4 linked regions of the Lytechinus pictus genome follow. The main gene of each other region encodes a partner of the protein of the gene in region 3 in a complex. Links are inferred from orthologs where the notes say so. Each region holds a gene or a part of one and is shown on either strand. Other genes may lie near its edges. The genes, in order: RING-type E3 ubiquitin-protein ligase PPIL2-like; RNA-binding motif protein, X-linked 2-like; pleiotropic regulator 1-like; pre-mRNA-splicing factor ATP-dependent RNA helicase DHX16-like.

What was found.
Region 1: pleiotropic regulator 1-like (region 3) and RING-type E3 ubiquitin-protein ligase PPIL2-like share a complex: the UniProt entries of both Homo sapiens proteins name them as parts of the minor spliceosome. The link is inferred for Lytechinus pictus from reciprocal best matches to the Homo sapiens genes PLRG1 and PPIL2.
Region 2: pleiotropic regulator 1-like (region 3) and RNA-binding motif protein, X-linked 2-like share a complex: the UniProt entries of both Homo sapiens proteins name them as parts of the minor spliceosome. The link is inferred for Lytechinus pictus from reciprocal best matches to the Homo sapiens genes PLRG1 and RBMX2.
Region 4: pleiotropic regulator 1-like (region 3) and pre-mRNA-splicing factor ATP-dependent RNA helicase DHX16-like share a complex: the UniProt entries of both Homo sapiens proteins name them as parts of the minor spliceosome. The link is inferred for Lytechinus pictus from reciprocal best matches to the Homo sapiens genes PLRG1 and DHX16.

Annotation. Positions count from the first base shown.
Region 1 is NC_087246.1:20,478,985-20,486,651, forward strand, and holds the start of RING-type E3 ubiquitin-protein ligase PPIL2-like, read left to right. Parts: upstream 1-4,645; 5' UTR 4,646-4,782; coding exon 4,783-4,814; intron 4,815-6,419; coding exon 6,420-6,469; intron 6,470-7,097; coding exon 7,098-7,143; intron 7,144-7,587; coding exon 7,588-7,667. Other genes in the region: uncharacterized protein LOC129283664, read right to left, coding at 1,421-1,551, 2,890-3,135, 4,179-4,194. UniProt on the Homo sapiens protein: Has a ubiquitin-protein ligase activity acting as an E3 ubiquitin protein ligase or as an ubiquitin-ubiquitin ligase promoting elongation of ubiquitin chains on substrates.
Region 2 is NC_087260.1:9,505,367-9,512,786, forward strand, and holds the start of RNA-binding motif protein, X-linked 2-like, read left to right. Parts: upstream 1-4,415; 5' UTR 4,416-4,526; coding exon 4,527-4,531; intron 4,532-7,420. UniProt on the Homo sapiens protein: Involved in pre-mRNA splicing as component of the activated spliceosome. As a component of the minor spliceosome, involved in the splicing of U12-type introns in pre-mRNAs.
Region 3 is NC_087249.1:42,998,820-43,006,518, forward strand, and holds the start of pleiotropic regulator 1-like, read left to right. Parts: upstream 1-4,693; 5' UTR 4,694-4,752; coding exon 4,753-4,799; intron 4,800-6,485; coding exon 6,486-6,622; intron 6,623-7,699. UniProt on the Homo sapiens protein: Involved in pre-mRNA splicing as component of the spliceosome. Component of the PRP19-CDC5L complex that forms an integral part of the spliceosome and is required for activating pre-mRNA splicing.
Region 4 is NC_087259.1:20,692,960-20,700,330, reverse strand, and holds the start of pre-mRNA-splicing factor ATP-dependent RNA helicase DHX16-like, read left to right. Parts: upstream 1-4,363; 5' UTR 4,364-4,384; coding exon 4,385-4,588; intron 4,589-5,168; coding exon 5,169-5,312; intron 5,313-5,963; coding exon 5,964-6,052; intron 6,053-7,039; coding exon 7,040-7,202; intron 7,203-7,371. UniProt on the Homo sapiens protein: Required for pre-mRNA splicing as a component of the spliceosome. Contributes to pre-mRNA splicing after spliceosome formation and prior to the first transesterification reaction.

The sequences.
Region 1 (7,667 bases), on a different chromosome or scaffold from region 3:
CAAGAAAAAAACTGAAGGGATGGGTGAAAAAATGATATGGAATATATAGTCAGAGAAAAGGGGAAATACACTGAAATGTAGGCTAGAATCAAAGACGTAGATATAGATGAGTGAATAGATAAATTTATAGAACAATGGTAATATAGAGAGATAGATAGATAGATAGATATATATATAGGTAGATAGATAGGTAGGTAGATATATAGATAGATAGAATTAAAGACCAAGATATAGATGAGTGAATAGATAAATTTATAGAAGAATGGTAATATAGATAGATAGATATATATATAGGTAGATAGATAGGTAGGTAGATATATAGATAGATAGAATTAAAGACCGAGATATAGATGAGTGAATAGATAAATTTATAGAAGAATGGTAATATAGATAGATAGATAGAATAGTAGATAAAAATAAATCGATTGATAAATAGAAAATTATAAAGAAATATAATTTCAAATTACGCTATATAAGCACAAAACGTCACCCCCCCCCCCTTTGTTCCTACTCCTTTTCCCTCTAATTTTTATTCCTTCCTTTGGCTCCATCCTTCTGGTCTTCCCTGAAATTACCTTTTTTTTTGTTTTAGTTACTTCTTTTTTAAATCCCGTTTATCTTTCTCACCCATTTTCTATCACTCCTTTTCTTTCTTTTTTCTATTTCTCCCTCTCCCGTTTATACCTTTACATTCATTTCTTTCTCATTTACTTTCCATTCTCATTTTCTTTTTACGTCTCCTATATTCTTCTTTTATTTGCCTTTTTCCCTCTCTTTCTTTCAATTTTCGGTAGTTAGGTGGCCTTTCCGACTAAAACTTTTCACAGCAAGACATAATTATAGGGAGATATTCATTGATGTATCAAAATGAGGTGAGAAGAAAATTAAGGGAAAATTTGACATTGAGGGTATATCATACACTCTTAAAAATGTTGGGCAACATACGGTCCACACAACAATTGGTTAAAACTTTATCCAATTCTGGGTAGTTTTACACCAATACTGTGTAGTTTTCACCCAAAGCACACATTATTGGTGTAAAACTACCCAGAATTGGATAAAGTTTTAACCAATTGTTGTGTGGACCGTATGTTGCCCAACATTTTTAAGAGTGTAAGGACTCGCATGCTAGCTTTACGAAAAACAAATAAACTTTATTAGTCATTAGACTATTTTTAACCTTTCAGCAAAGTTAATTATGTACATTCAAAATATAAAACAATAACAAGATATATTTTACAGTTGAATTTAAACAATTTATTCGACCAATGCATGCTATTCATGTCAGTATTGCGGCAAAATATTACATTAGGGACAATTTATGCATTATTAATAACATGGTCAATATTACTGCACTTGGCAAGAATCATAACAGCAATTAAAAGGTTTTTTGGGTTTGAGAGTTCGTGAGTTCATTCAGTCAGTGCCTAGAAGTTGATGCAGAAGACATATACGGATGATAACCCATTGGTGTGTAGAAAGAAGACGGTGTTCGGTGAAGATACTCAGCGCTAGAGGGAGAAGGAGAGTGACTGCTACGAGAGAGAGAGTCTACTGACGCCAATGCAGTGGCGTAACAGGCGGGGGGGGGGGCAGGGGGGGGGGTAAGCTGCCCCCCTGGCGGAGCTCACCGGGAAAATAAAAAAAAAACGGGAAAAAGAAAAAAAGGGAGGAAGAAAGGGAAAGGGAAAGGAAAGAAAAGAAAAAAGGGGAAAGGGAAAGGAAAAGGGAAAAGAAAACTAAGAAAAAAACATAAAAAAGGGAAAACGGAAAGATAACGGGAAAAGGAAGGAAAAAAGAACAAGTGAGAAAAAACAATTCGCCCCGATATAATACAGTAGCATGATTAGTAAGACAGGGAAATAAATTAAAGATGACAAAAAGGCAAACAAAAGCGGGAAATAAAGGCCCCTATATGGACCCTTCCTGCATTAAGCTTTACGTTGAAACACTGGCATACCGGGGGGGGGGGAAATAAAAGAAAATAAAGGAGGCAGCGAAATTAGATGAATGAAAAAAATATATGACATGATATTTGCTATAATGATGTAAAAATCTATCACATAATTAGAATTTCATTTTAACAGGCCTTTTTTTTATTGGCTCGCTTCGCTCGCTGGCGACTTTTTACAAATTTTCCCACATTTGCTATGGTGTGCCCCTCACAATATGTGGATGATTACGATACACAACTGCATTGAATTTATGTGTTGTGTTAAAGCTTTATAAATATACACGCAATTTGATTAAAATAAGTGGCCATCTGCAAGGTTTATGGCTTTGATATCAAGAGGTTCCGGGGTTCTACCCTGGACCCCACCATAAAGCACTGTTATATGGATGAGTTGGACCATGGCCCCCAAAAGTTCTACAACGAAACAAAAAAAAAATGAGGAAAGAAAGGAAAGTGTATTATATTTTTCTGAATATCACGTTAAAATCTATCTTCATGTTAGATTCTCATGAAAAGGTGATTTTTTTTATCTCGCTCGCTTCGCTCCCCCGGACCTATATTAAGCTACTTCTTGCCAGAAGCGCCATACTCGGCCCCCTCGAGCATATAGAGCTTCGCCCTGATGCTCACAATCATAACAAAAATCCTGTTCACCGTGGCGTACAAAAAAGAGAGAAAAAAGGAAAAAGAGGAGGGTGAAATAATTATGATATCATCTTTTTAACATTATGTCAAAATCTATCACAAAATTGGATTTTTGCAATAAAAATGTATAAAAATTTTGCTCGCTCGCTTATATATATATATATATATATATATATATATTGGCCCGATATGCCATATCGCCCCCTCAAAATTTTTGCCTTATGACGCCATTGCCTGTTCCATGATATGACCGGGACATTTTTGGCTCTTGCCCCCCCTTGGCCACCGACCCCTGTTACGCTGCTGCATCAATGGACTGGTGGCGCCTTTCGTTGAGTCACGTGATGTCGTGCAGTGGAGCTGAGTGACGCCATGACATTGAAGATGTGGGTCCAATGAAACTGTCGTTGACTCTGACGTCGATCGACTGCTTTCAGCGAGAAAGTCGACAGAGAACTTGGATGACACGACGCCCAACTTCTTTGTAGGTGGTGTCGTCTGGTTGACCTCATCGGCGTCGCATGGTGTCTTCCGCTCTTTCAATTTTTGGTAATTAGGTGGCCTTTTCGACTAAACTCTTTCACAGCAAGGCATAATTATAGGGAGATATTCATTAATGTATCAAAAAGATATGAGAAGAAAATTAAAGGAAAGGGATTTGACATTGTTGGTATATCATAAGGACTCGCATGCTTCCTTCGCGAAAAACAAATAAACTCTATTAATCATTAGACTCTTTCGAACCAATCAGCAAAGTTAATTATGTACATTCAAAATATAAAACAACAACAAGATATATTTTACAGTTGAATTTGAACATTTTATTCGACCAATGCTATTCACGTCAGTAGTGCGGCAAAATATTACATTAGGCGCCACCAGTCCATTGATGTCAGTAGAGTTTCTCTCTCGTAGCAGTCGCTCTCCTTCTCCCTCTAGCGCACTGACTGAATGAACTCTCGAACTCTCAAACAGAAAGGAACTTTCCATTGCTGTTAAAATAATATTCTTCTCAATTGCACTAATATTGGTCATATAATCATAATGCTCAAACTGTTCTTATAATGTTACAATTTGTAAAACTATTAAAACTAGCAGGAATGGCATTAGTCGAATAAATCGTTTGAATTCATTTATAAAAATATATCTTTTTTGATGTACATATTAATTATCTTTGCTTTAAGGTTGGAAAGAGGTGGGATTGATAAAATGTATGCCCTATTTATTTTTAAGTGAAGAGACGTTCTCACTACAAGTTTCCACTAAACTAGTTTCCACTGAACTAGTTTTAGGAAGGGAGTGAGAACGGTGTCTTATATAGTGCAGTAGAATATATAATTTAGATAATAGTTTCTGCGCTCTGAAATCTATAAATTTAGATCTATACTATTCATTTTATTTAAAATGTTATCACTCTCTTATCTTGCATCCAATTTTTTAATGAAATTTTCAGTTTTTTTCTGGGGTGCATGGACTTGACCTTTAAAATTAAATAACTTCGTTATTTGTTATCCGATTTTGATGATATTTTCAGAATTTTGCCCTGTGAATTTTACATTATTTATTGAGATATGAATACTTCCAGCCTGGACCATCCCTTTAAATCCCGAGCTGGGTTTTTCATTTGCGTTTCACACGGGATTTCAAAATCCCGAGGGGGTTTAAAATTCTTGGGTGAATTCGGGCCATAATGTTTATACACAAAGGAGTCGCTCGATCGCTCACTTACTTTTTGGTGTTGGTGTTGGTGTTGAAACTTTGGATTGCTTAATTCCCCCCCCCCCTCCCTTAGCTCCAAAATCTATTCTGAGTTTGTAAAACTGATCCAGATCACATTATTGACATCTCAACAACTAGTGAGTGACTTCTCGGCACCATCTTCATTTTATGTTTGGTGTTATAATCGTGTAAACATTGACCTAACAGGTTAACACCAACATCAAACGGTCAACACTGAACTCGAAGTCACCCATTGGCATTAATCCCGGGAGTATACCCCTCACCATTATTTTGATTCACATAACGCCAGCTACGGTAGCTTTTTTTAAACTATACGGTATGGTACGTAGGACGTAGAACTTAGATCATCATTAATAATACTTAGTGGAGAAAATCGACGCGGAACTCCGGAATTTTATTGAAATTTAATTTTTACCTTGTTCAAGTAGAGTCGATAAATCAAGATGGGGAAGAGACAACATCAGTCAGATAAGATGTGAGTATTGTATTTTATGGTTTTCCCCCTTTTCATCTGATTCTTTAATTCACGGTTTCTTTAGTTTAGGGCCCCTGGCACCTGCGGGTTTCTCCCATGTCACAACGCCGGTCTGGGCGGCGGAGTGCGTAGTAGAATCCCGTTGGCGTTGCTTGCTCTTGTACTGTAGGCGAAATTTCTGCCTGGCTGTTTCACTTTCAAACACAAACTGACAAAGCAGGTTGTGAATTGTGTGAAGGAGGTTGAGGGGGCTGGCGATGTCGCAAAAATGTACTGAAATTTAAAATGAAGAAATCTCTGGTTTTCTTCTGAAAATCTGCATTGACGATTGATCTGACCATGCTGACTGAGTTTGCGAACTTTCTAACAAATTGAAATTAAGGATTGTATCTTCAAAATGACAGCAACAAAAAACCCCACAGAAAATCTCCACCCCATTCAATTGATTGAATTTGCACAGAAATCAAGCCGACAGCATGCTATCGGTATTGCTAGCTAGTGCCATAGTGGGCACTCACAACATTGCAAGGTTAGTGCTATACCGTATACGAACCTTGCACAACCAACATGTTTTTGTAGAGTTGTCGTTAACATCGCTTCATAACGTGAATGATGTTAGCCGAAACCCATTCCGCTACTCACCAGGGCTTTTTCTGGTAGAAAGCGTTCCATTTTCAATTTTTAACATATTTTTTTAATTTAAAAAGGACACAAAAAAGAGCAAAATCGCTTACCTCCGCCTGGAAAGTGGCTTCGCACGTCTCTTCCACGGAAATAAAAGGAAGGTCGTTCGTGGCGCTAATACAGTTCACAACCTTAATTCAGCTTGGTGGTATTTTTAAAACTAGATTCATGATTCATTGTATGCGCAATTCCAATAATTGTTTGATAAAATAGAGACCCCAATAAATGCAATAACTTAAAAACCATGTCACTTTAGTACAAATGACCTTCCTCTGATCATGCGCAGAATCTTCTGATCATGCGCAGCTTGAAACAGCTTGAAAACAAACGGCATGACCAGTTATTTTTTTAACAGACATTTCATTAAAACAACTGATTCTTCCATTTGAATTTACAATAGAATGTTTCATGTTTATTTCTATACTAAAATTTATTGTTGAATATATGTTGTTGAAAATTTCCCTCCCCATAATAACGTTGATTACAAATATCCATTGATTTGATCGATTTGATGCAGCAACTTTGAGTATGCGGCATTGTAGGCCTTATAATATCATAACCACTTTACAGTGAACCATGTGATATTGTTACCCTGGCTGTACTTCACCTGGGAAACTCCAGATAACTTTGCCTGTTTTTTTTTCCTGTTTTAATAGAAAATCATCACTTTGGCCCATTTCATAAAAGATTTATGATGATGGTAACTTTACCTTTAAAACTATGTTCCGTGGTTACAGAGTTCAGCATCCTATCAAAACAAGATTTGCATTAATACCATAATGGCAAAAGTACCATCATCATAAATTTGTACGATGGGCCCCTGGAGTAGGATTCAACCTATTATCTTCTGATTGAAAGGCGAGTGTTGGAACCATTTCTATTACTTTAATAGTTTGCAAACTTCTTCTCACAATGAAACAGGTATCTGACCTCCAAGGAGTGGACGGCATTCTACGGTGGCAAGAAAACTGGTAAGAGAGATTGAAGTTTTCTCATCTCTATCCATCTTTATTCTCTGATCTTTTTAATGTTAGAAGACATTATAATAATCATAGAGTTGAGATGAATAGCAAAGAGGCAGATGGCACAATAATGAGCAGTAACAAGCTATCAACTTGGAACATGACATTTGGGTATTTATTTTTTTGTTCAGATAGGGTTCACCCCATGGTGGGTGCTAAAATTGCACCCTTTCCAACATCTGAAACCTTTAGCATAGATCTGGCAAGGGGGTTAGCATTGAAATTGCACCTAGAGCTCTGATATTTTTTCATGGTACACCAGTGCTTCTGAGGTTTGTGGATTAAACTTTCAAGGTATATATTTTTCTCTCTCTTTTTCTTCCCCTTTACTTTAACATTTTTTGCCTCCGACAAAGATTCTGCTAGGATCGAAAGCTTAGGCCCCTATTGACTTTCTAATTTACTCCATTGGCTCTCTTTTATTAGATAAGCAGTTTTCAGCAGCTTCTTTTTGCCATTTTTTGTACCCGTTAAAGTGATGCCATTGTAAGTTGTCCATCTAGTCCCCCTGATATACATTGTATACTCTTTATGAAAACTGAATAATTTTCTTTCTTATTTTAATGTTGTATCACAGAATCACAGAAATCTGAGTTTCGTAGATTACCATTTGATCATTGCAGGTATGTGATTTCATTCATTAGAAAATCTTAAAGAAGGGAATACATAGGAATTTTATAAAGTATTAGCTATATTTTCATATATAAGATTTTATACTTATTTCATTTCCTTATGTAAATTGAAGAGTTATTAATATATTTAAGCGCTTAGAGAAATTTTGTTAGGCGCTATGTAAGTATTGAATTATTATTATTATTATATCGTATTTAGTATTGTTTCATGGTTTGAAGTATTAATCATATGACAGGTCTTTTTTTTCAACCGTGCCGGGGGGGGGGGGCAGGCCTACATATGCACAAAATCTCAAAAACTTTTTCAAATAATAATAATTAAAAATTAAACAGTTGTATTTAATAAATGTACTTCTAAATTTTTTTGCACAAGATATGATTAAACGATTGTATTCTTATTCAAATAGTATTTACATTTTTTTCTTATATCCAAAGTCTATCCCTTCAGCCTTTTGAGCACCCCTACTGTACTTCAGATGGTATTATCTTTGATCTGATGAGTATTGTACCATTCA
Region 2 (7,420 bases), on a different chromosome or scaffold from region 3:
TCTATACTTTCTTACAATGTCACTATTGATATATGGCACCTTTTAGATGGGTCAGCAGCCAGCTTTTTCCACCGAAATGCAAGACGAGATTTCTGAAATTTCTGAGTAGCATAAAATCTAGAGTTCTGATTGGTTGAATGGGAACATTGGAATTTGCGTGGGTGTGTGGTCTCTATGACCAAACAAAGCATGGTATTCTTGATTTTAAACTGCTAAATGTACTTGGCCTATTAAAAGCTGGCTGCTGACCCATCTAAGATACCTCTTCTTATGAAAATTATATCATATTAAAGCTTAGATCTTGAGCTTTATCATAATCTAAAAATTATTTGGGCCCAACGAGAAATTAAGTGTTAAAACAACAAGTTTTTTTGCATTAAAATAATTATTTTGTTTCATGTTTTAGAACAAAAGTTTCACCTATGTTATAAAATCTTTTTAAAAATCCAGACACATGACATGAAAGAATGATATTTCTTTATAAAGATACCAAAAACATGAAATTTGGTCAATATTTAGAGCAGCAATGCCCGAATAAAAAGAGGTGTTTTCGTCCGCACCAAGCTCATTAACAATGCAAAAACCCTCTAGTCATGAATATCACTTGGATAAAAGAAGCTACTTTTTGAGGGCTTGCCGACTGACTGATTACATTTTCTATCATGATATGTCACCACTGAACAATAAAGTGTAATCTGAAATGTTTGTGTTGGGAAGTAACTAGCGCAAATATGAAATGTTTTTGTCAAGTTATTACTTTTAATTTGTCTAAAATATGAAGATTTTTTTGGGGAAAATGACACCTAAATATTTTTTTCAGCTCCTGGTGACAAATCAATGTGATGAAGGGGCATATATGACATACTCATGAATTTGATATCAAATTCGTCATGATAGCAAAAATATTTGATAAGATACAGTAAATTTTATGACGTTTGACAAATGTCAGCTTTTCTTTAAATTTCCTTGGTGTATGTAAACTTCTGGCCTTAACTGTAGGTACCATTGTATAATTATGAACCTTTTGCAGTGAGAATCACTGACAGGCAGTTTAGAGTATTTATATCATGAGCAGTTTGTCTCTTTCTCATGTAATCTAATACCACATTGAGCTAAACCCTTTCGCACGTATTCTGAAGTCGGGTTTAATTTAAACTCTGGTTTTTAGTTGTGGTTTAACTATGGAAAGCCAGTTGTTATATAAATCTACAACAAGTAGAGGTTCAATGTATCAGCTCATTTGACTCCCAAAACATTAACTGCCTGGGAAAGATAAGTATGACAGTCGTCTTCACCAATAAAGAATTAGTTAAGAGCACAGTAAACATGAGAAGCATTCACTCTAAAAACAAAATTTTGAAACGTTTGGCTTCCCATAGTTTTAGCACAGAGTTAGACCATGGTCTTTGTTAAACCCGACTTCAGAATACGGGCCTTTGGGTCATATTCTGATAGCCATGGTTTAAACTTGGGTTAACTAAGACCACATTTTCAGCTATTAAAGTATTTTCGTTTATAACAAAGGACAAGAGTTATTCTTTCAAATTTTGATGTTTTTAGGTACATTTTGTGTCATCAATTACATGATTAACAATTGTATCCCTGGGTGACGGTCAAATGTAATTTCAGATCAATCGACTCTGATAAAAAAAAAGTTATGTTCGTCATCTTAAAAGTGTTTCATCTAACTAAATGAAACGTGAAATGTGTGAAATGGTTATTGGATATCACAAATGATATTAAATCAATGTGTTTACCAGTGAAGGTCAAATGTCATTTGAGGTCATTGAACTTTGGGGTTTATTATCAATTTATATACTTTCTTACAAGACATTTGAGAGGTTGCAACACTAGGTCACCAGACATGGTCATATGACATTTTCTCTAACTTGTATGCATTCCTTTTACTTTGCTGATCAACACATTCTTTGTCATGTTGAAATAAAGAACCTTCAAAATCACCTGCAGTCAAAATTTTTATCTGTTTAATCTCTTTGAGGCAAGTAATCATTTATGTCCTTTTGTGTTCATTGAAATGTCCCTTTGCCTTGGTGTATCAAGAATATGAAGTTACATCAATTTATGTAGTATGATTTTCTTTTTTACCATATGGCCTTGAATAATATTTTGTTATTTATGACACTTATTAAACTGATAATTCTGAAGAAAAATATTGATGTGCTGTTTCTTTTATGTTTTATTGTTATGTTGAACATTTAATAGTCTATATACATGAATAGCCTTTCTGTGAAAGATGTGAACAAACAAATGAATCATTGTGCCACTCTTTATTTGAAAAAAAAAATCAAGCCATTTCCTTTCACTTCATTTCAGTTTATCTTTATTTATGAAAGACTACAAAATATTGCATACATAAATATAGGCAACCTAAACCCAAGAAAGAATCTAGCTTATTTGAAAGAATAGAGTAAGAGAAACCAAAAAATAATTTAAAAATCGCTTATAAAATAAGAGAGTTATGGAAGCTTAAAGAGTCTTGCAAACACTATTCATAAGCTTGCTTACATTTGCAAAATATATCTGATATCTCCTGACCATGACATATGGTAGGAATTGTATTTTCCCATATTATGTTGCGCTCAAAATAAAGCAAGATGTGGTTTGTAAGGTAATTTTGAAAATTTGTGTAAAAAGCGAAATTAGTCATTATTTAGCATGTTGCCAATATGAGGACACCCATTGAATTTACATCAAGACTTTACACACTTACATAACTCTTATTTTGTAACTTTGATAAAACAAAGCTTTTTTTATTGCTCTCATATTACTCTTCAAATGTTTCCTTTGGTTTTGGTTTTCTGTAAACAAATTTAGACACGTTGGACCCCTTCAGCTCTACCTGGGGAAAGGGAAATAAGGTTCCAAATAATTAACCTGTTGCCAATTTGCTTTGTTTTTTCTTCATTTTTTTTCCAGTTGCCATTTGAGGGTCATCTGAGGGGGGGGGGGGTACTTCCATTGAAGAGGACGATAGCAACAGCAATAAAAACTTAACAAACCACACACAGAGAAAGTTGTGATTTTGGGGGGGATAAGCACTGTCATAATCCAAATCAGGAAAAGGGTGTGCAATTTCGTGAATGTTATGATTTTGAAACATTAATAAATACCCCAGCCTTCATATCTTTCCTCCTTTATCCTCACCATCATAAATGACAAATAGTAGGTAAAATCACCTTTCAACTCTACAAAATAATGGTTTTATACACTGCAAAAATTCCGGTGTTGATTTAACACCAGCCAGGAATCTAAATATGTCCACATCAGAGAAATATTTAGATAACACCGGTTTGGAATCAAGCCGATGCTCTTTTAATACTAATTGGTGTTGTAAACACATATCTGGTGTTAGACCAAAACTTAACTGGTGTTGTTTAACACTTCTCTGGTGTTGACATATATTGATTCCGGGCTGGTGTTAAATCAACACCAGAGTTTTTGCAGTGTAGCAGGCCCTACAAATTTTAGCCAAAACAAATTGCCTGCTCCCAGAAACAGACACCAAAATCAGAAAAAGGACCACCAAATAAAATAGTTGTGGACAAAATATGTGATTGGGGGGTGGCGGTCATTTAGGATTTTAATTGGCCCGGCACACTTTTTGGGGGACCCGAGACCAAAAAATATTGTCATTTCATATTGAGATACATTAAAAGGAATTTAAAGAACTGTTCCCTTATCAAAATAACAAAAAAAAAATATATATATATTTGACCCATGACCATGTACAGCCCACTCCTACTAATATTTAAGACGGGCATAATTTGATTTAGCATCCTCAACAACAACACAATACATATTTAATTCTCGAGAGAGAATATAGATATTTTGATAGTAGTGAGAATAAGAAAAGGTATTGGTGAAAAAAAATATCAAAAGAGAGTGTGGGAGAGAGGAGTATAAAATGGCGGTATGATGGACCTGACATTTTTGTTTGAAAAAAAAAGTTACTATTATTTCTATTTCTAATGTCAATCTGCAAATCTATAATCAACTGAAATCGCTTGTGCTAGAAAGATTGAAAAGTGCCAACAATAACTGAGGAAAATAATCAGCATTTTCTTCATTTCAAAATATGCTTACATCATTTCACTTAGAATAAAACATAAAAAATGTTTATATTGTTAATCATATCACTGAAACTAGCTAACAAAGAAGAAAAAAATACACTTTATTCACAGCAGTTGCAGTATAAACTAGACTCGATTGTTATGTCTTCCGGAACGAAGTTTAGTTTGCCGAAAATTAATCAGAATCGAGATGATGATTGATTGCATTTGAGCACGTCGGGCATATATAGGCCGAGGATCGAACCCGAGACTTGCCATGAACAATAGACCACTCTGTCGTCCACGGCACCCCTATGCATCTTGAGAGCACCGTCAATACAGGCCCGTGTTGTTGCCCTCTACGTTGGTTGGTCTTATGCATGCAGGGCTGCCTCTTTATGCTATGTCTGTTTGTTAATTTATGTACCGGTACGTGCGGAAATCCCCGCGGAGATCATGAAGTAAGTTGATGAAATCTTGAATTTAGGGTATGAACAGTGTAAATGATGATATCAGCAATATTAACACTCAATCTGTTGTCTCTTTTTCAGCTGCGTTATAATTCTCACTCGACTAGTAATAAACTAATATATGTTGTCCCACTCGCTCAATTTTATGTCATGTCTTTGACTTTGTAGGGTCGGGATCACTCTTTTATTGCGAGGTTAATAGTATAACCTCGCACCATGAACCGCGTTTGGCAGTGTATTTCTAACTAGTGGGTCACGCGTGCTGGGATCCCACTTCTGGTGTCCACAACACCCGACTTCTATGGCTTGATATTTCTGTGCGCGGCGGCATGTACAGTGCAGTGGCAGTGGTAACCCACGACCTAGTACCAATTGAATGAGGTCCAAACATCATGAACTAAGCTTGTAACCGATTTTGCAATCGGCAACCGATTCCATTCGATTTCACCACAATCGGCGATCACTTGCCGATTTTCGATCATGCCCATCAAAGAAAAAAATCGAATGTAAAAAATCGAATTGTTGAAAATTGGCGGAGCCGCGGAGCTCAGTTGCATTTTGCCCTTACGCATCGCCAGCTGCTGTCTGTGCGTACTATGCCGCTCTAGCTCTAGCAGCACGTCGCACTAGCACTGCCGTGACCGGTAGCAAAGACACTACAGCTTGAGTTAGTTGAGGGTACACGTTCGCCCGCTCTATTGAGCTCTAGCAGCAGACATAAGCGCAAGCCACGGATGAATAAAAATAATGGCGGCACGCGACTTGGTACATAATCAACCAAGGAGCTGAAGCTCTTTTGATCGAACAGATCTAGTCATAATCTCCTTGATCCTTACCAAAATATATTCCTCGATCGCGATCATTTCATTTCTCGGGTTCTTTTCACATTTTCCCCCATGACCATATCCCCGGCCAGCCTTTCACTCCTTTTCATGTATGCATCGTTTCGGTGGCCGTGGTGGGGGATCGGGGGGGGGGGGGGTAGACTTGTGAAGCTTTGCCTAGCGTGATAATGAGATTGTCTTTTTATGTTCATATTTTTTGTGTCTTTTTATTATGAATTCCTCATAATATTTTGATTTACTGATATTGTACATGAAATAATAAAATCATGTTCAACTTACAGGTATCTAGAATAGGCCTATAGGACCTTTTATGCATGTATGTTTGCGTTTTTTTTACAATTCTGTTTATAGATATTTCTTGAAGATTTTTTTTCTGTATTTCTCCCCTTGTGAATATAAATTGTCAAAAAAGATGTCCATATATTGACTCTTTAGTGTTAAAATGTTAAAAGGTTAATTTATAAATGTAGAACCAATAACCAATATGTTAATAATTTCATACAATATAGGCATATGATATACATGTACATTGTTTTCACAATTCATGTTATATGATGATGAAGAAATGAAGTATAATTTAAAAAAAAACGAATACTTCTGAAGTCTGAATCCCTTTTCAGACTTCAGGTGAACGTAGATGAAAAAAAAAACCTTTTCCATTTTGTTTATTCTTCTTAGGTTCTTAGAGGGTGGAAGAAATTCAAATATGACACTTTCTATTTTCCATTGGACAGAACCTCGGCCTATATTTTTTTTCTCTTTATTGTATAATGATGTATCTGGTAAAATCTGAACCCTCTGGCTGATCTTTGTTTGTGGAAAATAGGAAAAGAACGTTGGAAAATGAGAAGCATATATTATAATCGTATTCTTCATATTTGTAATTCTATATTGCATATTTCCTTTTATCTTTATTTCCATTCAGTGATTTTGATTTTTGTTTGTTTTGCTTCGTTGACAAATATATAGAAAGTGAAGGTTTTCACAGAATGCCCTCCTATCGAAATGATTTTTACCCCAATAATCTTGCAGCTGTTACTTTGGTCATATACTCATGATTTCTTTAATAATAAATAAAAAAAGTGAACATCAAAATTTATGTCTCGTGCTAGTATTTCTCACTCGTCCCTTTCATTTGTTTTATTCTCTCTTTCATTTTATGCTCTGATCGCTTGTTTCTATCATTGAATGGTTTGTTAAAAACAGCAACATGTTTGATGTATTTTTTTTAATTAAGGGCGTAAAGCACTGAAGAATGGAGAGAAAAACCTGTTTAATAAGGGTCTTTATCAAGTCCTTTCTTTGGGTTTTCACAAAATGAACTCCAAACGGACTGATTAGAAAAAAAATCTTCCCTCTCTTCAAGAAATAACCAAATCAAAAGCTATAATAATTTTATGATATGGACATTGCCATTGGACTGGTTTGGTGCCGTTGATGGACCAAGAAAGGCGGCAGATGTTTTCCGTCCAGCTTGTTTCCCCTTCTCTCCTGTTCAATCGACCGAGAGACGGAAGTGTGATGACATTGCATCCCAGCAAAAGGGAACCCGTTTTTCAGAACCTAGATTCACAATCATCAAATAAATTTTGATCGAACTATATTTGACAACGAAATGAGAGTAAATCCTTATTTTGAAAACTTTCAGCAAATTATGCTTGCATGGCAGAATTCAAGAAGTATTATGTAATTCTAAATCTCCTCTCATTTGGAAATAAAGAGCCCAAATAAAGTGTTACTATAGTAACTACTAACGAACCAAGAGTATTTTACAATCATAATAGGCATCGCTATCTCGTTTGCCTATAATACAAATTCCCTATTATTCTTGAGAGTAAAATAAAATTACATCACTCTTTAGGTCGTCCCATGTTGTCTTGTCCCTGTAAAAAATACTCCGCGATAGCAAAAAACAACCAGTCGTCTCTACTGGAAAACTCTGACAACGCGATTTCTTTTTTCTGAGACGCACTGTAAGCATATATGTACGTGGTATGTGTGTGTGTGGTTTAGGATGTTTTCGTTTCAGCCTACC
Region 3 (7,699 bases):
TTTTTCTTTCATTCTCTCCCCCTCTCTTAATTTTTTTTCTGGTCATTTTCAGTGATTTCCCCTTTTTTATTGTGTGTCCTATTCTCCTCCAAAATATATGGAAAATATATGAGATTAGGAAATTAATTAAAGAGCATATTTATTTTGTCATGATGTTCAAGATAAAAATCATTTAAAAAAGAAATGCAACTACAAGGTACATCAGTAGTCATGTTGAAAAATGTATTTTTAAAGCCGTCAATGGTATGGTATGTAAAACTGTAAGGCTATAACTTGTTTTGAAGCAATAAAACTTTGTTTTGAAGGATTTTTTCGGGCAAGTGAAATATATATTCGGGCAAGTATTTTCCAACTATTTGAAAATTTACTTGCCTGACTGGGCAAGTGCTTCAAAAAAGTTGTGTAGCACCCTGCCAATAGTAATCTTGAATTATGTTAAGAATTGAGCATTCAAAGAATTTAGACTCAGTTATAAAATTACAGAGGAGCTGAATCAAGGTTGTGAAATTATTAGCGGGCTTCCTTGTATTTTCGTAGAAGAGACAAACGAAGTCACTTGCTAGGCCGAGGTAAGCGAAATTTGCTCTTTTTATAATGAAATTATTTCAAACTCATATGTATAATTTTGTTATGTTTTGCTACTTACCGGAAAGAGCCCCGGTGCGTAGCGAGAAGGAGTTTCGGCAAATATTACTTCAGCAATGAAGCGATGTTTGCCGACTACTTCGAAATCCAGGGTCAAACACGGTCCCTTATACGAGGTTAGTATATATACTAACCTCGTATTAGTGTGAGTGGTTTGTGCCCAACTTTGGGCTCTGATTTCATGAATGGAAAATATGTCAGACGTAATCGAAAGCGCATGCGCATTGTGCTTCTTTTCTCGGAGCTCGGAGACGTCCAGAGATGGAATAAAAAATAAAAATAATGCCAGTATAATACTATTAATTCTTCCATATGAAAATAACATACTTTGTTGACATCGTCAATATTTTTAGTATGGCCATAAAATCTTATTAAATTGTAATTATTTAACATCCAATAATAATTTATATGAATTTAGAGCTCGATCCGAGACATTCGTATTTATTTCGATCACAAGCTCGTGTAAAAAAAAAATGGATTATCATTATCAGGATTAAGTCTCGAACATCGTCAGAACTCATATTCCACAATCTTTCCTCACAATCGTTATATCAGCATTGAATACCAATTCAAATGACCATCCAGAGAAAATTACGTATTTATTTCCATCAATTTATTTGGAGCTAATTTTGGATCCAACTACCCCGCCAACTACACAATCTCAGGCAAGTTACAGCGCTCTCCCCGCTGTTTGCACTTGTTAGATGGCGCTGGCAAGCACGCCTGTCGTTTCGGGAGAGTGAGTGAACGGGGCTGCGGACGGGGCTGGTGTGTGCGAGTCTGGACTGCGAATGCTAGTTGACCGAAAATCATTCGGATCGACTCTGCGTGATTCAATTCTTTAATATTGTTTCATTTTAAACCTATATGTTATCATCTGCAAATATCATTGTTGAAGATATTTTGGGAAGAATTCTGCATTGCTACCCGGCCTTTTTTGTGTTTTTTGATCATGGAAAATACAAACGAACTTTGCTCTGTCATCTGCTTTTGCAACGCTCACCCAGCCAGTGTAGACCGTCAGTGCATGTAGTGCATGCATAGCGCTGCATCGACGGCCGGCCGGAGCAAAAACAATGACTCGATTTTCCCCACCTTCAAATTTCGATTCATCGATGATCGATCTAATTAAAGATGTCGAACACCGGTTTTCAAAATAATCGATATGACTCGGGCTTAAAAGAAAGTGAAAGACGGACATGACAGACAGCAACTTAGTTTTAGTCGGTTAGTCGAGGGCGACTGGTCCAAAAACACGGGCCATGCCTAACGTAAGACCAAAAAGCTTCAGTCTCTGTATTTTGGTTGTTCCGCTGAACTGCGACTTGTCTGCGTTGGCTCCACTCACCAATACATAGACTGAAGAGTTGTTGGCCCGTACGTACAGCCGACGTATTAGCAGTAACGTTAGATCTAACTTTCTGCAGAAACCCAATTTTCGGATCGTATTTTTGTACATAAAATGTCACATAAAAAAGAAAGTACATTCGAACTTACTAAAAAATATAAAATTAAGAAATATCGTACCTCAGACCGCAGTTACCGCTAATTCCTTTCAAATGATGATTGAAACATAGTCATCTTCGATCCTTTCTTTGGTCAACGTAAGTTGCCATCTTGGATGACGTCATCATCCTTACAGACGTATTTACCAGTCGCTATATATCGCGATTTGTGCCGCTGCTTTGCGCTTGTAGATGTGCGTGCGTTCGGAACTTGTCGCTCGCATTGATTGGCCAGGATATCGAAAATTTAATCGGAAAGCCTTGATAAAAGCGCAACACACGGCTGCCATTTTTCCTCTCCGGCGGAAAATTAAAAAAATAAGGAATAAATCATCGGTAACGTATATTTTTGATATTTTCTTAGAACTTATATAGTATCAAAAGAAAGATTAGAGTCTAACGAAAAAATAGTGGGCCTTCGTTCTAGATAATATAATGTCATTTAGAATAAAAAAAAAAATTAAAATCTGGTCAAAACCCGGTCGCCCGAATTGCTGACCTGATTACACATGCAGGCTCGCACTAACCAAGGCTCCACATTAACTTTTTTTGTTGTGTCCCGTTCGGGCCACCAAAACCTTCAAAATTTTTTTTTTTGTGGTCCGATATTAAACTTTTGTGGCCCGAAAAAGAAAAAGAAAAACATGAATTAAAAATGAATAAAACAAACTTCTGAAATATTAATTCTGCAGCCAGTACCACTAAGTTACTTTCACTTAATACATCTTGTATGTAAATCTTGTTTGCTGTTATTTTACTTTGCTAATTGATTTGTGTTAATATATAAATTGTTCTATTATTGTAAATATGAAATGATTGAAAGAGAATAAAAGAATTGTATTGTTCCCAGGTTGTGTGGACTTTTAAAAATCTCTGTATAGACACACACTCATAATAGTAAGTAAATAAATAGTGCATAGCAAACTCAGATAGATGTACAAAACAATGATTTTTCCCTTCTTCTTTTTTTAATCCTAAAACCTATATGTAGATTATGCAGGCCCCAAATCCAGTTTATTTTCTCTTTTCCAGCATATCATAGCAGGAGAAAATCACAGAAAAATATGCTGCAAAATTAGATTAATGCATAAAACGGGGAAACAAACAAAAATAATTTTTAGAATAGTATATTAAAAAAAGAAAACAAAAATAATAAAATAAATAAGTGAAATAAAACGAAAGAAAGGAAATGGAGAAAGAAAAAAACAAAGAACAGGGAAAAAAAAGAAAAGAAAAAATTTAGAGAAAAATAAGACAACGGCAAAAGTTATATCTGGAAAAAACAGTGTGAGAAAAAAATCCTTCCCTATATTTGCCAAAATGCTGGAAAAATTCACATTTCATATCAATGAAATGCCTTCCCAAAGTATTAACTTCCTCAAGAGTGGTTTAAGAAGTCATTTATAAACAAGAAAGAAAGAAACTGTCTGTTTATTTTTAGCTAGAAAAGACACAGCTTCGAAAGAAACCAAGTATCAACATACATACAAATGCACATGTGGGACTGTGATGTGTATTAATGCATTTGGAAATTGGTCTTTTTGAGTCAAAAGAGAGGTCATAATTCTTCTTTTTAATGCTTGCAAATAAACAGGTTACACCAGATTTTAGTAATGTGGACTGTAGAAGGGCATTTCATTGGTGTAAAATGTGACTTTGACGTAGATTTTCAAAGTTCTGTGGAAGATTTCTTAGCAGCAACATTTCGTATCGCAGCTCCCTAAGTCTGAATAGTCTGCTAGCGCACAGCTAGCTTCAGTAGTTTCATGCATGCAAAGCTCACGCCAGACGGCCAGCACAGCTGGATAAAAGTTACTGTATGCTATAGCGGTAGGCCTACATACTGTCATGACTATGCAATCTTTGTGTGTGTGTAGATTAACAAAAAGGGCGCATGACGAATTGGCTTGCAATTTGAACTGTAGGAAGTTGATAAATGCATGCAAAATCGGGAGAAAAATTGCGCTGAAAATTATTGGTTGCTCTATTCGGGCCACCAAAACTTAACATTTTTTCAATAATGGTTGCCCGAGGTGAATTTCTGGTGGCCCCGGGCCACCGCTAATGTCGAGCCTTGCTAACACACTACCGTCGGTGAATAGGGATTATAGTGAAATGTCAGAAATTGTTAAATAATTCCCCAGAAACGACGGTTGTATAGAAACGACGGTTGTATGTAAACGACGGTTGTATGTACAAGACAATCAACAGACTGAGCTCACACTGCATGAGCATATTTTGCATCAAAAGTCATAAATTCAAAATGAAAAAGGATCTATTCTTAGGTGTCGTATAAATCAAATAATGGACGTTCTTTTCAATCATGCAATGGACAAAATACTTCATTCAGGGAAAAATGTAATGAATAAGATTAATGGATCATTCATCTTTGAAGTACTTTGTCCATTGCACTCAAAAACATAATTATTTGTGTAGTAGATAATTTTCAATACCTGGTATTTATCATGATGAAATCTGATTAGTAGTCAAAGGCTGAATTTGCATGAATTCAGGGTAAAATGTCAATGTTTTATTTAACTTACAGGTCAGTAAACAGTCCGTCCATACCCTGGTGTTTCGATCACTCAAGAGGTCACATGAAATGTTCATAGCTGATAATGCCCATCCTCCTAACAGGGATCCTCATGCGTAAGTATCAAACATCATTTTTTATTAGTACATCTTTGGTATGGGCATATTGTTTTTGACACTTTCATATGTTATGATAAACCTTTTATCTCCTAGTGGGCCATATTTCTCATGAATTCTGTAATCTGATTGGTCAATTTGTTTGTGAGACAAACCTATATTGAACAAGCTGTTGTTGTTTTAATGTTGTTCTCATTGTTACGCGCATTCCCAGTGATGATTTCAACCCCGTAATATGAGACAGTATTACATGTGTATTCAAGCATCGCGCTGCGCACTACTATTTGCTACTATCAATTTCAATAGCATAATGTGCATTATTTTTACTGTGATCATTGTGATGTCATGGATGACTTCCTTTCAAAAATCACTCTCAAAATGCAGGGTTTGCATTGATTTTTAGTTCTATTCTATTGATTTCCCCTATTCCAAAATAATATAAGGATACACTTAAAGAGATAAAATCGTTACACCTTGCTTGTATCTACGTGCATGTTCTGGTTACATAATATGTGTACAATCAGGGTGTAACTACATGTAATAGTATCTTTAATTTTGAACAAAATCACTATTTGTTTTTAAAGGATGGAATAATTTTTTCAATAGTAAACCAAGTTGTATTTGATGGAATTAGAAGTACACGTCATAAACTAATGCCGGAAGTTTTTAGGTGAAAAGGATCATCAACCATAAAAAAAACATCCTCAGCTTTATAATATCTTGTCAATATTGATCAACAATAACCCACACAAGTACTTGATTGAATGCAGAAGACATTCAGTGAGAGCTTTAGACATGCAACCGTTCCCTTTTTAGAGTGTTTGTTCCTCTTTTTTGCTATGAATACGCAAATACTTTTCTTTAAATTTCCGATCATGGAGTATAGATTACACACAGCACGCGACACTAACGCCGGTCCGACCGTCCCAGACCGGTAAAAATCACTGTCAGGCCAGTAACTTGTTACATGAAAAGAACAAGTAAATTCTTGCCTACGAGCACATGTTAAAATGGTGAATTATCAAGTTTTCAAGTAGAGTCATTTCACATATTTTTTTTTACTGATCTCACTACAACAGGCTGGCAATTGTTACGTTGAGACAAATCTTTAAAGATACTCTTTTTCCTTCTAAGAATACTTTTTTTTGTAGAAGGTTGGCAGGTCTGAGAATAAGGAGAAATTTTACCAATTGGAATAGTTGGAATTTACTCAATCATGAGATGTTTTTCATAAAGTTTTGTAATCAAATGGCTTGTTTCTGCAGAGAACCATTCAACGGTATTACCCACGTAAGTATCCATTATCAATCCAGAATTCTGGAAAAACTTCCCTGTAGAAACAGACGCGATGCAGTTTATTGATAAACTGCATCTCATAAACACCTCCCAGAGGTGATTCTGAGAAACCGTATTTTGCACGATGCGGTTTATTGATAAACCACATCGCGCAAATCACCGTTTCTCATAACCGTGTTTATCCGTTTATTTGCAACGCGGAATGTGAGTTAATTGGATTATTCGCTCTGTAGAAACAGGATAGTTTAAGGGCGATACAGTTATTCGATTCCGGAATAAGAACCTTTCTTAATGATTCTCTGTAGAAACACGCCGACATTTTTTTGTCACTTTCCGTGCCAAATATTTCCATATATACATGTATATCCTTTACTTTGTGTGTGCTAACAGAGATACGGTTAAGGTTGCCTGCAAAGTTAGAGATCAGTATGGGATGGTACAGAATCTTACAGCTAACACAGAACACCAGAGAATAGCTGAACTATCACACAGAGAAATAAGAGAAGGGAGCCAGGAGTATGAACAAGGTAACCCGATGACTTGATTGTATAATAATTTAGGCATTATGAACATTAATGTTTGATTGGTTGGTTGGTCGGTTGGTCGGTCGGTCGAACGGAATATATCAGATATAAGTTTACAAGGTAATATATGTAAACATGTAATATATATAATAAATTTATAATATAGTTACATTATAAGCATCGGTTCAATAATATCAAACAAAATGACAGTTTTAAAAGAATGCAGGAGACTGCCATCGTGAGCAATAAGGCTTGATAATGATGGCGACCTCGTAAAAATCATACCAATAAAGAAGAATTGGCTGAAATTATAGAAGTCGCTCAATTACACTATATGATTAAGGTCTGAGTAGTTTCATTTCAAAAATCCTACTGTAGACGGGTCAATATATGGTTTGACCCGGAACAAATTGCAACAAATGATTTTTCAACGGTATTTTGTACTATCTGACCTTAGAAATAACATACTAAAAATCTACCAAAATCCGCATCCGGGAAAGTGGTTATTTTTAAGATGGCGTCCAAGATGGCCGCCATTCACTAAAAATGGATATAACTCAATCATTATCCACCCTAGAATCCTATTTGGGTTCATATTCCATGGTCCAATTGGTAAAATAATTTATTTATACAAGTTAGAGTGAATATTAGCACTCCAGGGTACCAGGAAAATCCAAGATGGCGCCCAAAATGGCTGCTGTAGGCTGAAAATCCACAATTCATCTAAATTTGTTTTTTATTCAATGGTTTTAAGGATTAAATAGTACATTGAAACAAGTTACAAGGACAGCCAGTGGTCTGGTGTGTCCAAAAATCCAAGATGGCTTCCAAAAATGGAGTTTAAAATGGATGTTGATAATTAAAATGGACATAGTTCATTTCATATCCACCTGAGAGATATGATTTTGGTGTCTAGACCATGGTTTCAATGGTCAAATAAGACATTGGGACAAAGTACAAGGACAGTCAGTGGTCCGGTTTGTTCAAAAATCCAAGATGGCTTTCAAAAATGGAGTAAAAAATGCTGTTGCTACTTAAAAGAAAAACCAACATAGTTTGTTCAATATCCGGGAATATGTT
Region 4 (7,371 bases), on a different chromosome or scaffold from region 3:
AATAACACTGAGTGGCCCTAAAACTTGATTGAAAAAAATGTTCACAACTGTATAGGGCAAGGCTTCAGTCTCCAAGCTCACGACTGTGCAGGTACGTCCACTTCCATTGGCAATTCCGGCTGAATTCCACCCCGGCAGCCTGACATCCACCCTTAAGACCAAGAAATGATATTAAAGAAAGTAAATCAGGGAAAAACGAGGAATGGAAAGGGGGACAATAAATTACATCATTTTGTTTTAAATCCTGTAAAAAATAATAATTTAATTTCAAATTAAGCCCCCAAATAAATTTTTTTTTATTGATGGCTACCCTCAGCCCGGCATGCCCACACAGCTACACCCCGAATATTTATTTTTTCACATTTCGGGGGCAGGAGTGAAATCGCCCCAAGCCCCATGCACCCACGTTAAAGTATTTTTTTTGCGACTCAAACATCCACACCACAGTCACACTCAAAGTCAAAGAAATTGAAGCATATTAATTATTGCAACTTAAAACTCAGCTCTCTACACCAGGGAAACTCAATCTAAAAAAAAAAATGTAAAAAAAAAAGGCCTAAAAATAATCAATTTGAAGTTAAAAATTAAGCCCCCAAATAAAACATTTATTATTGATGGCTACTCTCAGCCCGGCATGCCCACACATCTACACTGCGAATATTTTTTCACATTTCGGGGGCAGGAGTGAATCGCCCCGAGGCCGAGCCCCCACCCACGTAAAAGTATTTTTTGTGCGACTCAAACATCCACACCACAGTCACACTCAGTCAAAGAAATTGAAGTATATTAAATTATTACAATCTTAAAGCTCTACACCAGGGAAAATAAAAATAGAAAAAATAAAAATATATATATAAATATTTACAAAAAAAAGGCAGAGCCTGTACGACACTGCCAAGCTTCAAGCTCTAGTTCACTCTCTCACTCAGTCAAGCTCAGCTCTTTGACTGTGCACGCCCACTTCCATTGGGGATTCGGGCTGAATCCCACCCCGCCAGTTTAGGCGGCCGAGCTACGTAGAATTGCGATGAAGAGCAGCGGACCGTTCATCGGTTGTTCGCTTCTTGCGACCAGAGAGAAAAGGTGAAAAACTTTAACAAAATCGTGCAAATGCACCAAATTTTATCCTTGTGATGAGAAAATGGAGTTAATGGAATACAAGAAAGTCCATCTTCTGCGATAAAAGTGGTAACTTGAGGAGAAATGATCACAAAATCAAGTCAGTTGTTGAGCGGGGCCGAGCCGAGCACCGACACAGTTAATACACGCGCGCCTATGGGAATCGCGAGCTGTCGAAAAACGCCTAAAATTACACTCTTTTTTTATTTCAGCGAAAAAAAAAGCAATAGAAAGTGAAGAACATTACCATCAGACCATATCTCTAGAAAATCTTTACAAGAAATTTCGAAATGACGGAAAAATAGACGCAAATTTGTGAGAAAAAAAATCTTTTAATGGGTGGGACAACTCGGCCCGCGGTCCGAGTTGTCCCGTGGTCCGAGTTGTCCCTGATTCCTACTAACCTCGCACAACCAACGTGTTAACGTAATGGATTTTAGAGTTGTCGGTTAACATCGCTTCATAACGCGAATGATGTTAGCCGAAACCCTTTCCCCTACTCACCAGGTCTTTTTCTGGTGAAAAGTGTTCCATTTCCAATTTTTAACTTATTTCTATATAAAATTAAAAATTTTGCCTCCGACGAAGATTCTGCTAGGATCGAAAGCTTAGGCCCCTTTTTGACTTTCTAAAATTAAAAAGGACATAAAAAAGAGCAAAATCGCTTTCCTCGGCCTGAAAAGTGGCTTCGCATGTCTCTTCCACGGAAATAAAAAGAAGGTCGTTGGTGGCGCTAATACAATTCACAACCTTAATTCAGCTTGTTGGTATTTTAAAAACTAGATTCTTCATTCATTGTACCGGTACCGGTACTTTTATATTATTTTTGCTGACGATGATACTTTTTGGAAAATATTCAAAGCGATGACAAATTAAACAAAAAATATAGAAAATTCTACTACCTTGAACGAAGCCCCACAAGTGCTACCGTTTGTTTGTCAATTAATGTTCCACCAAAGTCTTTACATTACAGTAAAAAGATTGGACACTTTGCCAACTTCGCGTAACGCTTTGCATCGATTTACGTGTAAGATAGTTTTTGTGCCTAGTCTTTCCCTTGTAGTTGATATAAGATAAATCGCACGCCCTCTTTAGCTTATTAGACAAAAAATTTGAAAAAGGAAGAATTGACTTCACATCGTTCGGTAAGTTTCGTAGGAGGACTTGATCCTGTAAATCCTCTTATTAAATTTGCGGGATTTTGTTGCAATTTTGCATGCGCCGCGCCTTCAATTTTCCTGTACATGGCGGCAGTAATGCACCCATGGGTGAGGCAAAGCAAGCAACGCAGCTCCGCCGCAGGCCGCTGAAGGGTCAGAGTAGCAAGGACTCTCAGGGGGCTCCTAGAGAGTAAAATCATTCACTAACGTTAGCTTACCCTCCAGAAGCCAGATATTGCGTGCGCGTGCACGCCTTCATGTGCGTAGCTGTAGTGTAGAGAGGCAAAAGCTTTGGTTGTTCCGCTGAACTCCGTTGGCTCCACTCACCAATTACAGAGACCGAAGTTCTAGCTCGATCTGTACAGGGACTCAATGGCCATATATATGTTTATGTATTAAGTTCAGATAAACCAGGAAATGGGAGTTGCGCGACAGCGGAAGTAATTCATAGTTTTATTTTTTCCTGTTTTGGTGCATTTCAGGCCAAAACGGAATAATAATCTTTATTTTGGTCCAGTTCTTTGTATATATTTTTATGAAATAAAGACAAAAATTGATTTTGCATTGTTAACCCCCTAATGGCGGCTGCACGATCGCTAGCCGTCTGTGTATGAGGGTAATTTTAAAAAATTAAAAATGTTTAAAAACTCCTCGAACAGACGGCTGCCAGCTGTGTATAGAGAGACGAGATGGGCAAAATTGAAACTTTCGCCCCCCCACTTATACTAGTAGGAGGTTAGTATGCTATACTAACCTCATACACCGAATCACGTTTGGTCCTGGATTTCTAAGTAGTCGGCAAACATTGAAGAAGTAATATTTGCCAAAACTCATTCTCGCTACTCACTGGGGTTCTTTCCGGTGAGTAGCCATAGATCTACAATTGTAATTTTAATTTTAATTAGAAATCCAGGGCCACACGCGGTTCGGTGTACGAGGTAAGTAAAGCATACTGGTACTAACCTCGCACTAGTGTGAGTGGTTTAGAACTTCATTTCCGATATTAATACATTTTTAAAACAATGTATATGAAAAAGCACAAAAAATTATGATGAGAAGATGAGATTTAACTGACCTATGTATACAAGTGCATATAGAGGGTGGCAGATATTTTCCGTCCTCTATATGTGTCTCTTAGCTTAACTACTAACAAAGAAGGCAAGATGGCAGCGTAAACATAGGTAAGTTAAATCTCATCTTTTCATAATAATTTTTGGTGTTTTTTTATTTATATTGTTTTAAAAATGTAATCAATAACTTACAGGCCTAAATGTCCGAAATTACATGTAAGTTCTAGCTAGAAATTTTACAGGAAGAGTAGAAATCTCGGTGGGCGAAAGTTTTTATTTTGCCCGTCCTTTACGCACATGATATAGGCACAATCCCTGGCTCCATGGAGAGTAAGTTAATTTTAGTGAATGATTTTTACTCTCTAGGAGCCTCCTGGCTAGGGCAGAGGCAGGGCTAAAAATATTCCGACCCAATGAAAAATGTGAAGATTCATAGGGGTAATTGTCCTTTTTTTTTACTTAAAAGTTAGCACGTTAGTTAGACTTAAGTTAATTTGGGAGAAAACGTATAGTCTAAGAGTGCACTTGTCTACTCTGATACTTATAGCATCGATATTGAATGAAAAACCAACCATCTATTCAATCAAGATTCAAACTTTGAATCTTGAATTATCATATCTTGGAAACCATACCGGTACCTTGAAAGTAGGCATAAAGTTATACTAAACTTATCATTTGACTCTCGGTGTCTACAAATCAGCAATAATAACTTAGAATAAGCCCTGTGTTGTTGTGGAAGTTCATGGACAAATGAATATTTTGAGAGGGTTAAACTTGTCCATCTTCTGTGACCAAAATCATCTGCAAACTTTTTGCCCCACTGGTGGAAATGGTCTGCTAATGAACCGTCACAGATTGACTGAAATAAAAATTCACTTTCAAGTAGATCTTGGGGGTCTATAATTATATGAAAAAATAGTTTGAAAATAGATCTAGAGTGGAGTCTGACTTAGGATTATAATGTAATAATGTTTGGTAACTCTTACTCTTCCACATTGTTATTTTTACAGGTGATCCTTGAGCCAATACATCAATATGGCATCAGGCAACCTGGACCAGTGGGTGAAGGACGAGCTCTATGATGTCCTTGGAATCAGTGACAGATACATTGCAGAATTCCTTGTCGGACTTGCCAAGAGGGCGTCTAGCAGCTCAGACTTGGTACAGCAAATCAGGCAGACTGGGACCATTGATATCTCAGATGGTGTGGTCAGGTTTGCAGGAGAACTCTTCAATAAGGTACCAATAACACTTAACCAGAGAAATCTTTATTTTTAGCATTTTATTTGTAGGAAGCATTGATGTCAGAAAGTGAGAAAACACAAACTATTGAATAGTAAACCTCTATCATTTGCAATTTGTAAGTATTATATCTCCTGTTATGACGAACTGGACGGAATCTCCATTTTTTTTTTATCTTGTGGAAAAGGTGCTTTTGAAATTTCAACTACTAGTACTATGATTATTGACCAGTGGGGCTTAAATTCTGGTACTTTCATGGCAAAGTTACTTTTCCCAATGGCCAAGTTTCTTTATTACAGCTCAAATGTGAAAGTTGAAAAAGTACAATGAATGAAATCTTCAAGGCCAATGAGAAGGAAACTGAGGCCAATCAATAGGGCATCCTCAGTTCAATATTCTTGAGACCTGCTAATTATCTAGGACTTTCGATTATCAAGAATTTAGACGGCCCAAAGTGATTTAAGTCAAATTCATGCTGTCAAAATTTTTATCACATTAGTCTGAAGGGTTGCATTACAAACAGATCAAGATGTACAAAGTCTGTACAATTCCTTTTCCCCTTGGCGTATTTTTCCAGATACCGAGGAAGCAGCAAGCTATAAATCCCAATAGACTGAAAGAGAAGCAAGCGAAAGAACAAGAATTGAAGAATAGGTCATACAAGCTCCTTTCGGATGATGAGGAAGAAGAAGAGCAACTGGTTAGAATTGTCAGAGAAAAGGTAATATCTGTATTTGGGTTCTTTTGAGATGTATTGGACATGAGGATCAGCTCCAGAATGATACATACATGTACATGAAATGTGTGGTTTAAATTCTGCTATGACAGTAGTATGAAGATGTAGTTATACTAAGGTTAGTAATGATGATATCGATAGAGATGGTAATGATGATAATTATAATGTTGATGATGTGATAGAAGGTAGTGATGATGATGATGGTGTTAATGATGATGGTGATGATAGTGATAATGGTGATGATGATGATGATGATGATGGTGATGATTGTGGTGTTCATGATGATGGTGTTAATGATGATGGTGATAATGGTGATGATGTTGATGTTGATGATGATGATGGTGATGATGATGTTGATGTTGAGGGTGATGATGCTGGTGGTGGTGATGTTGATCATGGTGATGATGATCATTGTGATGATGAAGATATTGATGATTATGATCATGGTTATGATGGTGGTGGTGGTGATGATGATGATGATGAAGTTGATGATGATGATGATGATGATAATGAATTCAATGATGATGATGATGGTGATGATGGTGATGGTAAAGATGATTATATTAGTGATGGTGATGATTATGATGACAACAATAGTTATAATAGGACTGATGACACTTTTATTAATTGACACAGAGACGGAAGACTACTGGTAAAAAGAGACAGCACATCAGAAAACAGAAACAAGAGAGTAGTGATGAAGATAGCGAGCCAGAACCTAAGAGGTAAGACTGATATCTACTTTGGATATACTTAATAATAAAAACAATAATAATATATAGCATTTAGAGTGCGCCTTCTATCTAGTTTCAGAGGCACAGAGGGAATTATTACACAGAAATGGGAGGAGGGTGGTGTTTTTTTTAATATGATGAGAATAGATATGTCTTAAGGTTGGTTTTGAATGACTATAGACTTGGCATTGTGTATTGTTGAAGAGAGTGCATTCCACAAAGTAGGAGCACTATGAGCAAAAGCTTTTTTTTTCTTTTTTTCTCATTTTAAAGTGTATAGTATAATTATTTCTTCAAGTCTGATCAGATGTATGTCCTTTGCTCTTTCTTATTTTGTAGTGAGATGTGTGCATATTTATCTTTTGTGTTGTATTTTAGGAACAACCCTCTGATTGGGCTTTAGCTTTTGTTTGTCTCCCCACATATTAAAATATCTTGTTACATCTTATAATGTTAGTTTGTGTACTATCATAACGGGGAAATTCACCCTGTTGTCAAATTGGATTTAATAAAAAGAGAAACATGAGAGAAATATCCTAATGAGAGTTTGTTGAAAATCAAATAGGTAAACAGAGATATGTATTTGTTATGTTTTGATATTGTGACATTATATACAAGCAACTCTTTTGCCATAAAAAAAACTTTGGCAAATAAACAAAAACTCTGGCAAACAAAATTATGCCATTGAAAATTACACTTTAAAAACTCTGGCAAAAAATTTGCCAGAGTTTTTTATGGCAAAAGTTTTATGCTACGGGCCCCATTTGTCACATGATATAATTCCATAAAATATTGTTTTCTCTGAATATTGAAATTTGAACCAGGAATAGAAAGCATAGTAATAATCGTAGAACATTTAAAAAATTATGTCATTGCATGACCACTTTCTACAATCAGTTGTTAAAATAAAGCATGATTGATCACTCAGCCTTAAAACTTTCAGTGAAAAATGCACAATTTCATTTGTTCCCAAATCAGGCAAGCTCATATCAAGAAGGAGTCAAGTTCAGAATCTGATAGTACGGAGGATGAAGAGAAGGAGAGGAGGAGGGATTTAGAAGAGAGAGATGCATTCGCTGCCAGATTGAAAAACAAGGATAAAGAACGAACAAGGAAGAAAACTAATAAGAGCAGCAAGAAGGTGGGTAGTTTGATAAATGGTTTGGAATGGAAATAGAGTTTTCTTTACCGGCCAAGTTTACTCCAACATCAAGTCGATTTGCATAAGAGAGAAAAATCAAGAAAGCATTTCAAAATGCTGAAATTTCATTTAATTTTGAAGTGGAATGAGAAAAGTCAGTTAAAAGTTT